Drosophila melanogaster: one gene and its partner. The protein of the gene in region 1 interacts with the protein of each later gene in a pairwise test. Each region holds a gene or a part of one and is shown in the gene's direction. Other genes may lie near its edges.

Region 1 (6,873 bases):
CCAATGTATTGTACTTCCTTGCTGTCCAGTTGTAGGTGATGCTCCAATAGATGCAGCACAATCTGGCGAACAATTAGTCGCTTCTTGGCGGGTGAATCCTGGGCGGTCCCCCAAACCACAGCTTCTGTGATGCTGCCATCCTGAAACCGACGTAGGTTTGATTTCTCTCCCCAGAACCGTCGGAATTCCTCAGCTCCCTCATGATCATCGTTGGCAGCAGGTCCTTTGTTTAACACCTGGTATGCGTGCTCTGGCTGAAGTATAAGGCCCAGTTGAATATACTTCCCAATAACGGGCGCTTTTTTTTCCACAGGCCAGGCGGCTGTCGCAGTTTCTAAGGGTAGTATGGAGTGGACACGTTCAGCAAGTCCCTTTTTAAGGAGCCTAAAGTTATGATTATTATTTCTTTGTAAGTTGCCTGTTTAGCTTAGTTAACTCACTCAGTCAGTAAATGTAGCAGCTGCGGGTAACCATAATTAGCAAAATCGTACTTAATTCGAGGATGCGAATGCAGTGTAAGCATTTGATTTATGCATGAATAATTGGAAATCCTGGGGAAAAATAAAGTTTATAATTGAAAAACTAACATTTTAGCTTCACATACTTTAAGATATTATCCACCCTGCTGTACAGTGGACACTTTTGCATAAAGATAAGCGGGAAACTGTTTAGCTTCATGTCGTTCAGTAGTTCCACCGCCAGTTTGGCCTCCTCTCGAACTCTCTGATACAGGTAAAGCGGAATATTTGCGCATAGATTATGCTGTCCAGTGAAGTCTATAAAGCAAACGTCATAGTGTTCGGCAAACTTGTTTAATTCTTCCGTTTGAATGGGAGCAACAGACAGGCTAATGCCTTTCGTCCAGTCCGTGTTCGCCAGTTGGTTCCATACAGTGCGTGCCACTTGGTAACTGCTGCTTGACTGATGCAGAATGCGCTGCGTATTTAGGTACACAATAAAAGCGGCTAAGATGTGGGCACCAAACCCACTGTAACCTATGTCCAGTTGCCTCTGACGCAACCATACTTTAAGGAGCAGCAGGCCGTCCTGAAAATTACGCCTGCTCTTAAAGGCCTTATCCAATTGAGCCTGGTTCTCGGACAAAGTTAGATCAAACAGTACGTTTGCGTTGTAGTGTTGGGTGGAGGGCAGCGGATCTTTCTCGTCCCATTCGTCACCGTAAAACGAGGGCCGAATATTGTTGTTCCAGGGAACAAATCTGCCTGGCTTAAAACTGCTTAATGGGGCAGTGATGAACAGACGCACTTGCAGGTGCTTGTTTACTTGCTTAGTAACTGGGATCAATTCCAGAACCGGCTTAAGCGGGTTGTTAGCATAGTAGTTGAAATTAAACTGATCTTCTGCATAATCTGGGGACTCCATCATCCTCTCCGTCACATAAGTAAGATACAAAGCTCGCTTCTGGTCATAGCGAAGGTTTAGGTAATCTTCTTTGTGCAGGGATTCTTTTGGCATCTCCAGGGCCACATCCACTACAATTTTGGGACCCAGCAAAGTGCCCGTGGCGGCGGCTCCGATCAGATAAGGTTCCCTGGTGGGCTTGGAGAAAACAAATCCGGTCGGCTTTTCAGAAAGCTTCATTGGAACTTCCAAGTGGGTACGCTCCATCAAGCCATCCTTTAGCTGTCGGGTAAAGGCCGTAAAGGATTCAAGCCAGTTTTCAATGAAATCTGTGTATTTCTGCTTTAACTGCAGCTCCTCCAGCATTTCCTTAACTTGAAGCTTAAAGAGATTGGAGTGGAAGAGATTTTGGGTGTCTCGTAGCTCCTTCATCTCCTCCAAAGTGGGCGGCTTTACATTCTTGGTACCTTCTCTCTGCTTGAAGTTGTTCTTCTTTGGTATGGCAGTGGATGGTGGGTCGCTCTTGGCGATTTTGGGTTTTGGTTCATCAAGGTCGCTGTGATCCCCGGCATGTGCAATTGCTTGGGTACCTGTTCGAGCAGCTCCCTTCGGAGAGCCCACCTAAACAAAGTATGTTATAGGCCAAATAGTTTCCATAAAGATCTAGACAATCTTACCAACTTTCCTGGCATGATGTTTCCCTGTACAAATCGCATATAATATAAAATTTATTTACTTGTTGGAGAGAGAGCTAAACTCGCACGTGTTGCAGATGCGGTATTTCAGAATTCGGTATTTCATTAGAGGTTTTTGTATGGTCACCCTAGAACTGGGCAGATTCGTTTTTTAGTCCCAAATCAGCCGCAAAAACAGTGTCGAACGTAATTATAATTAAAATATTGAAAAGGTTTTATACACTAAATAAATTAGAGCAAAATATATTGCATGGTACACAGTTGTTGAATAAGTTACAAATTTAGACAATGTGAAGTGTAAATGTCTATACCAATTGCCGAGAAATCCTTGGATCCAGGACCAATAAATAAGATAAAATTTATAATATTATAAAAACAAATTATCAGTTAAACGCGAAAGATATTACCGTGGGCCTATACAGTTTTAAAGAGTAGATAAACAAATTTACCGGCTAATTGGTTTCGCCAGCAACAGTATTTTAAACAGTATTTTTATTTCATAATTATGTTTAAACATCTTTTATGTAAAGAGGGCTTTAGGTAAGTTCTGTCTTTAGCACAAGTATATAAGTATCTGTTTAAAATAAACGGGAAAAGCTAATTAAATTATCCCATTTTTCTTTTACCAGTAATCAGCATTAAATCAGCCTAGAGTATTTCCCTCGTTTTTCTATACGGTCTTACTCCGTCTCTGTCCATGTATAAGCGTGTGTGTGTGTGTTTGCAGGCAGGGGAAAAAATCGCACCATTTTTCTCGTGCTCTCTTGCGTGCGTTTTTTGGTCTTTCGAGGATTGTTTCGTAGAAAATCAGTTAAACACAAGCCCAGCTTAATTTATAAAAAGTAGTGAACTAAGTTGTTATCCAGAAATCGACGAGCGCACAGTAGCAAATCGAGTTGCAAATTTCAATATTCGGTCCGAACGTGTGTAACTGTGTCTGTGCGTGCGTGCGTGCGTGTGAGAGTGTATGGGTGAAAAATGAGGCGTAATGAAAATGCGTGCAAAACTGTATAAAAGGTAAATCGGCAGTTAAAAGTTGCCTAATTAATAAAGCCCACAAGTCGTTCATTCCGTAAAGATCAAAGCAAACCTTATAAAATGATGCGTTGGCAGAAAGGAGGCCCATTGAAAAAAATATGGCCAAAAGTCGAGTAGTTACACCCTCTCTGCCTCTTTGCCCCTCTGCCTTTCTTGGTTTTCTCTCTCTTATTCTCTTTGGGTCTTTGGCCATCGCCGCCTTGGCTCGTTTTTTGCATCGAATAACAAAACTTGAAAATTTATAAAAATAAACGAAATCACGTACGGAAATATTTACTTCGACCTTGCGGCCCCAGAGATTTTTCCAACAATTTATACGGCGCGGTGGCCATGGCAGCTAATTAGCCTAATTTTCTGTAATTTTCTAAATTTTAATTTGGTACCTTTTAGAAGAGAGTAACTTTCATTTGTGCGACGATGACTTTAAAAGTTTTAAGTTAAAGTCAATAGTAACTCTTACTAAATTAAATGAAAATCAATTGAAAAAAAAAAACAAATTTAGTTAGCGCTCTCATCAGTGCTTTTAGTGTGACCAGCATACGCTATGGCTGGCCTAACATACCAAAAGAAATACCGCAGTTTCGTACATTCATTAGTCTATTTACTATTTTTATTATCCATACAGAATGAAAAATGTTTAAATCGTCGGTAATATGAGTTTTTTTATATTTTGTATCAGTTAACATGATCTTTCGTCAAAACATTCAAAGCGCTTGGAATTAAGACCGATCTTTACGTTTACAATTTTGTTTATTCAGCTCTTTTACAATTGCTTTAACTTTTCCATTCTTATTTTTCAGATTGCTTTGATTTCCACGATCGTGAGCATTAAAAGTTTAGGCGTGATACTGACCGGTTAAATTTCCCTTAATTGAAATTTAACTACATATTTAAACAGCAACATAGTCCCTTTTGCCTAAAATGTCATCAAAAACTGGGAGGAAAAATATCATAGCAACAATCTGAATGAATTCGGAGATTCAGATCTGTTGTCACAAAAATTGTTGGATAAAATGTGCGAAAGTGTGTTTGTCAAATTGTTTAGCCAAAATTATTTGTTTACATAGTTGTTCAGCGTAGCACGAGGCTGTTTTCCTTAATTCTTAACAACATAGATACACTCGCCTTGGCTAATTTACACCGGAACCTAAAGCCGATTAACAATAGGAAAATAGTCCTACGACAAATAGCCCGCCTTTTGACATATGAACACATAACTAAACTACCACACAGCTCACCAAAAACATAAAATAAATTCGGAAAGTATAGCACCAAAGCTGAAATTTCAAGGAGATGCTGCTCAAATTTCATACTTGATGTCAAACAACGACGACCCCATAGCAACAACAACAACAACAGCAGAAAGAGAAGGAAAAGGAACAACTGGAATAACTGTAAGCTAGCGAACAGAGGGAGAGAGGCAATCTCTGTACACACACCTGTCGTCCAGCGGGGGAAAGAGCAAAAGAGAGCGACGGATCTCCCGTGTGTGTTGTTCGCATGCGCGACATGCGCGGACGCTAAGTGAGTGTGAGTGAGTGCGCGAATGCGTGTGAGTGTGGGCGGTGAGGATAATTCGCTCAATTCGCACGCATCCCACAGATCCTGCAGATCCTCCAGTTTGTTCGTCAAACAGAGTCAGCATTTCGGATCAAACCAGTTGCCTGTCAGCAACATTAACAGCCTCAACGTTGGAAAAAAAAAAACAAAAGCAGCAGCGGCAGTCGATAAAAAAATCATTATCAAAATTACGGAAAAGCGATCAAAATTCAAGCGAGATTAGCTAGGCGAAATGCAGCGACGAGAACGGCAAGCAAGGTGAGTTATGATTGTGTAATTGTATATCGATTATCCCCCAAATTCATAAAGAGGTAATGGTTCTAAGACTCTTTCAAAAATTAAAAATTAATCCTACCATTTAAGTTGGCATTGCTTTTGGCTACAGTATTGAAACCCATTTATAGTTTTCTATTGTCAATCGAAAATCAAGATAAGCGAATCTAGCCCACTGGCTTTATCCCTGCTTTTGAATCTGAATCTTTTGTACGCCCCTTAGCTATACCTTCCAACTCCAAGCGGTACTCAAATTTTGACTAGAGACCATAGGCTTGCGACTATTTATAATTTTGCATTGATAAGCCGTGCTAAAAAACCATTGCCACTATCTACGGAAGCGACGTCTGTTCTCATAAATGTTCCATATTCGGTACTACAGTACACTGTTATCAGGCGTAGAAGCGGTTGGATATTTTGATAGCGATAAGATTATGGCTGTGTCGGGAAACGCGTGTTTGCAAGTTTTAAAACCTAACAGTTTTGATTTGGTTGGCTTAGTTAACCAATAGAACTAGCTTTTCTTTCACTCATAAAACTTTTTAAAATATTAACGAATGCAAACTGCGAATTTTTAAAGAAAATGAGTCTGGTTTAAAATAATTTTATTTCGTTTAACATAAATAAATTTCCATAAAGCTAATTCCTTTTAATTTCCTAGCGAATACTGTACATTGTCAAAAGTTCAAGCAACAGATTTAGTTGTAGCTGCCTTTTTTGCCGAACGATTTTATTTTTAGCAAAGAGATGTTTCTATTTAAACTTGTGTGTTTGATTTTATTTTATTTTCGCAAGTGTTTTTGTTGCTTTTGGCTTATGGCGTCTGCTTTTTCTCGCCTCTGGCACGCCAGCCAAACTAAGAAGAAGAGCCATGAGAAGGGGGTGAATGAAATGGGTTTCCAATGCAATACATAATACCCACATACATACATATGTGGGTGCGTGATAGATAGCACCGGTCTTTCGTGTAGGAGAGCGGGAAACGAAGTGCACACAACTCACGCACATTATAAATATTTTATAGGCATTTCAGTCGATCGGCCTCCTTGTGTCAGGCCGACGGAAGAGCCGCCTTTTTAGCCTTGAATGTGGGTCCAAAGCTTTCGTTGCTGACGATTTTACCTCGTGTTCGCTTATTGACATTTCTAGGTTCTTGTTGGGCCGAAGTCTTCCTGTGTCTGTGTATCTCTGTTTTTGTTTTTTATAGTTCTTTATACATACGTACGCGCATATGTTTGCCATTGGGTCTTCCCAATGTTTGCTGTCTGCATTTTCGGGTCTTCCAGCTATATATACTCACACAAAGCACTTGTTTGCTTGTCGCTCATCAAGATGGGTAAGAAACCGGGGACTTCAGTAGCACCCTTTATCGGGGATTCTAGTTGACCTCTGGGAGTTATATAAGAAAAGCAGAACTGGGAAGTCAGAAGACGTAGATTCTGGTCCTGCGAACCTTGAATGTTGTTCTGTGAAATTAAAACTGTTTCATGACCCGTTTTAATAGATTTAGGTTAGGTCACAACTGGTGGTGATTGAGCCTTTTCTCTTTAACGTTTACTCAACAAAATGTATGAAAAAGCAAAAAAAAAAAAAATCATGTTACAACATTTATTTTCCACTCCACCGGCGGTACATAATACAAGAAAACGGAAAGCAACTAACCCAGCTAAACTAACGTAATTTTGTTGCTAGCCAACAAAACAAACTTACTCACACCCATCTAGATATTCACATTTCCACACATTTTAGTTGGAGACAGCGAATGTAATAAAAAACAAACTTTTTGTATTACTTTTTATTATTTAATAGCCGAGCTATTATGACAAGTGAATGGTGCAGGGGCGACGGGGATAACCTAAATTCTCAGTTAAAAACGAGAACAAAACCAACATAACGTAGGCCACGCCAGTCTTGCCACCAGTCATTCGTACAGCACGAACTAGCG
Region 2 (4,969 bases), on another chromosome or scaffold:
GCTTGGATCCCGATAAGGCTTACATTCAAATTACTTATGTTGAACCCTACTTTGAAACATATGAAATGCGTCATCGTGAGACATACTTTGAGCGGAATTTCAATATAAGTATGATATGAATTAAACAGATAATTTAAATCGAAATTTAAAATTATAATTTTAACATTTTTGGTTTATGCAGAACGTTTTATATATGCCACGCCTTTTACTAAAAATGGAAAGGCACATGGCGAACTAAATGAGCAGTGTAAACGGAAAACGATTTTGACCACGGCGAATCACTTTCCATACGTAAAAACTCGCATTATGGTAATTAGCCGACAGCAAATAGTCCTGGAACCGATTGAAGTGGCAATTGAAGTAAGTTATGTTGTAAAATCCCAAAAGTTAATAAAATTAAACGTTATTGCCTAGGATATTCAAAAAAAAACATTGGAATTGGCAGCTGCCACGAATCAAGAGCCAGCAGACCCCAAAATATTGCAAATGGTACTGCAGGGATGTATTGGAACCACTGTTAACCAAGGACCGATGGAAATGGCGAGTGTGTTCCTTTCCAATTTATCCGACGGAACAACTGTACCGACAAAACACCAAAACAAACTTCGGTTGTGCTTTCGCGAGTTTTCAAAGCGTTGTGCTGATGCTTTGAAAAAGAATCGCAATCTAATACTTTCAGATCAAAAAGATTACCAACGAGAACTGGAACGTAACAACGATCGGTTCATTGAACGATTGACTCCCTTTATTACTCTTACATCAGTTCAGAATCATGGCGTTGTCAAGTAAGTTTTTATTGTTATACAGTGAAAAGGAAAGTTACATTGTGTATACATATGTATTAAAATTCTCATGTCTTTCTTATTTTGTTCCTCAACGGAGTGCTCTAAATAATAGACATAAGATGCTTAATTAGATATTTATAGAATCCAGCCTAATATAGATATTACTTTACTATATGACTATATTAAAAACCACCAGTGCAAAAAGTAAACATTAACTTATATAATTTTTTATTTCTTTTCTAAATACATCCAATAGGGCCAACGCGTACAACAACAAAAGTACTCCTTTGAAATGGTAACTTCTTGCACACGACTTAGTCTGCAATCAAATTATCATACTTTTGGTCTTTCATGTCTAGCGTATCGGATTATTTTAAGTAAATCTTACATTTTAAATTATCGATCTCTATAATTGCTAATGTAATAGCATAACTTTTTTATGCATCTAATAGATTAAGCAAAATATTAAAAAGCGAAAAAAATAAAGTTTACACTTTTTTACTTTTACGAAAATAGTTAAAGCAACATGTTTCAAGCTACAAGGAGGTGCAGTTAAAGTGAGTGAAACAAATCGTATCCTACAGCAACAAAATTTAATTGTCGATTACCAGAAAAGGGAAGTATTCGAAAATGATAATCCTCGAATTTCGCATGGGTCGTTAACGGTTGTTAGATTGACTAAGAGTGAGCTCCGTGAGGCAATGGTATCGAACGCGACCTATCGGTATTCGCGAAACTTTCGAGTATACTATCGATGTTTTTATTTATCGATAGTGTCGGCTTTAATTACACGTAAACTCAGATAGTTTGCCGGTTAAAAAGACAATAAATAAATAAAAATGAGAATCAAGTATTGTTGGCTCGCAACGCTAGTATTCATAGCCGCTGCTTCGGCGTCATATTCTCCCGAAAAGCCTGTTCCGCCGCCCTGCAGGGCATGTACCCAGCTTGTTAGCTCTTTCAGGGCAGGACTCGAAAGGACAAAACGCGGACACGCGGGCGGGGACACGGCATGGGAGGAGGAAAAGTTGCGTTCGTACAAGAACAGCGAGGTACGGCTAGTGGAGATCCAGGAGAAGCTATGTTCGGAAGGAGAAGTGATAAACAAGGATCACTGCCACAACCTGGCTAACGAGCACGAGGCGCTTCTCGAGGACTGGTTTATCCACAAACAAACAGAGAGTCCCGACCTGCAGTCATGGCTTTGCATCGATCAGCTAACAGTCTGCTGTCCGCTGAACACCTACGGACCAGACTGCCTGACCTGCACCGAGTGCAATGGAAATGGTAAGTAATGATAACCAAGTATTACAGGCCACAACTTACATAAGTGTGTCAACTTAAGATTGCCGTCTTCGTTAATTTTACCCACATGACAAATTTCAGGAAAATGCAAAGGAGACGGAACTAGAAAGGGTAACGGAAAGTGCAAATGTGATCCCGGCTATGCGGGTCCAAACTGCAACGAATGTGGACCGGAGCACTACGAATCATTCCGTGACGAAAAGAAATTGCTGTGTACACAGTGCCATGCGGCCTGTGGGGAAGGAGGCTGCACGGGAGGTGGTCCCAAGAGCTGCCGCAAGTGTAAGAAGGGCTGGAGCATGGACTCGGAGGCAGGATGTGTCGACATTAATGAGTGCTTGGAGCAACAGCGTCCAAACCCTTGCCGACCACAGCAGTTCTGCGTGAACAATGAGGGCTCCTTTAGTTGCCTGGAGTGTGATCGATCTTGCGATGGATGCGATGGTGATGGCCCTGACATGTGCAGGAAGTGTGCGGATGGCTATGAGTTGAAGGAAGGAAAGTGTCATGGTAAGTAAGACAGAAATTTAATAAATTTGCTTTTAAGCAACGCATTGTCCACTGTATGTATTGCGCCTCCGATCATTTAAGATATTTCTGCGGAGCAACGCAGCAACTACGTAAGCTTTACGCGAATGCTCACCTACTTCGGAATGTGCGTGGCCACCTGTGTCATCTTCCAGAGCTCTACTCATATTGCCTGGGGTTGCATTGTTGGGGCGGCAGTGGCAGGGTACATTGCTGTTTCCGAGTACTGGATCAACTCGGAGGCAGGAGGCGGCCACCAACCCGAAATAGATACAAAACAGTTGGAGGAACTAATAATGAAGTCTTTATAAGTCAAAAGACATGTCAACATTGCTTTCCTTTTATGATATACACGAGCGTTTTGAAAAGCATAATCTTTTAACATTCCCCCAAGACATCTAACGATTTTTGTACTTCGTTTGCAGTCCGCAGTGATTCAAACTCCACGGTGCTCGGTGAAGAGTCCACGCACGAAGAATTGTAAAAGTAACCAAAAACGCACACCTTTTGTAGCCAATTTTACTTTAATAGGTAATATTATCAATTGATATGTAATTATAAATTAGAATTTCAAAAAGCAGGGCATGACCATATTTTTTTACACGTACCACACTTAGATATTTATTTGGTTTCAAAAATGTATAAAATCACAAATACAGCATATATTCGTATGAATAAATATTTTTAACTAAAATTACTGACGTAGTGTGCTTTTGTGACGTCCAAATTTTCATTTTGAAGACCATCTGTCGTGTGCAATGTAATACTGCTTTAAGCGGATTAATAAAGGAGCTACAGTGATACGAATGAATCATTGCATTTGGATCTTACAAAATGAAAATTTGTAAACAAAAAATATACACAAGATAACAACCATCACCGCGCTATATAAATAAAAACTCTAAAAATATTAACTAGAGGAACTTAAGCATTACATACGATCGTTCCCTTTGGCTTCTAAAGTTATCCAACACAGTCCGAAACGGATACAGAGCTCCCCCCACAACAGCCATTTAATCCCTACGACCGTGTCAAATGAATTTGACTTGTGCTGGCCGCTAGTCCTATCTCTTCGTCCGATTCATCTGAATCCAATGGACTCACTCGAATGGCTTGGTACCACTTGTTAGTCAGGTCGGCCATCTGTGACTTGCACTCGTGCAATTCCTGACTATTGAACCGACGTGTAAAAAACGGAATAAAGTACTTGCGATCCATGCGCCCAAAACGATCGCGCGCTTGAGTAAAGGTGACGTCCTCTTCCTCGGTGAGTTCAGACAAGTGTTCAGAGTCGATTGCCTGGCCCCATTCGCGAGTTTTCGATAGGGAAATAGATTTTGAACGCTTCCTACCGCTGCCGTTGCGTCGACCTCCCTCCTCAGCGGCATTCCTTCCAGAGCCGCGTGCCCGCCGTTTTTTTCCTGGCTTAAGGTACTTTAGCAGAGGCATTGTGGAGCCCCCCAGCACTAGCGTGGTAAATAGCACAATGATTAATCTGAAATTTTAATTCTTCAATGACTGAGCATTATTTTACAATCCGGAATATGCTTACGTTGTTGTTATGATGACGTGTCGTTTCTCCTGGCTGTCAAGATTCAAGTGCAAAGATAGCGCGTAGGAAATCGCTCCGCGTAGGCCAGAAAACCACATAATGAACTGCATCTTGTTATTGATCTTATGCTCGCGAAATTTGTTGACCAAGAACGCGAGCGGAAAAATATTGCAGGCGCGGCCAATTAAGCAAAGCACAATGGCCCATATAACAAAAGATAGTTCAACTTGGTGTTTAAAAGAAAAGATTGCTAATCCCAGATAAGCAAACACGCAGGTCTCAGCAATGAAAGCTAGTGTCCTCATCGTCTGCTGCATGGTAATTTGGGTAACCTACGATTAAAAAAGTTTTAATAATATATAAAATAGGGATATCATATGACTTACAGTGGATAGGTTGAAATGCGTGTAGTGGGACATGACGATTCCGCAAAATAGTATAGCCATAATACCTATAGTTGAAAAAAATGTTTAGCTTTTAGAGTCATAGTCAACAACATTGATATACCGCTTAAGTGTATTCCCTCTGCCAAGACGTAAGGTGCGTAAGTAAACATTAGCATCATCGCGAACTCGAGGGATGGATGCTTTCGTAAATCGATGTGCTTCAGAAGAAGAGCCGAAATTAGTGCAAATATGACTCCAATGCCCGCCGAAGCAAAGAACATCGCGCAAAAGGTCTTCAACGCGCTGAACATGGCTTCTCCAGTGCTGGCCTCAGCATTGACGTTAGCGGATTGGGTTATGGATGCAGTCAGCACAATAGATATGGCGTCGTTGAGGATGCTTTCGCCGAATAC

Evidence for each region.
Region 2: the proteins of gish (region 1) and Creld interact in a two-hybrid assay, tested with the Drosophila melanogaster proteins (one large-scale study listed by BioGRID).

The regions. Positions count from the first base shown.
Region 1 is NT_033777.3:16,270,257-16,277,129, forward strand, and holds the start of gish (gilgamesh), read left to right. Parts: upstream 1-2,744; 5' UTR 2,745-3,074; intron 3,075-3,895; 5' UTR 3,896-4,887; coding exon 4,888-4,913; intron 4,914-6,873. Other genes in the region: Mat89Ba (maternal transcript 89Ba), read right to left, coding at 1-384, 441-551, 605-1,983, 2,040-2,078.
Region 2 is NT_033779.5:100,835-105,803, forward strand, and holds Creld (cysteine rich with EGF like domains), read left to right. Parts: upstream 1-1,545; 5' UTR 1,546-1,624; coding exon 1,625-2,072; intron 2,073-2,171; coding exon 2,172-2,600; intron 2,601-2,681; coding exon 2,682-2,929; 3' UTR 2,930-3,043; coding exon of another isoform or gene 3,044-3,102; 3' UTR 3,103-3,308; downstream 3,309-4,969. Other genes in the region: Zir (Zizimin-related), read left to right, coding at 1-108, 182-360, 415-785, 1,042-1,084; Nhe1 (Na[+]/H[+] hydrogen exchanger 1), read right to left, coding at 3,639-4,113, 4,171-4,502, 4,557-4,621, 4,678-4,969.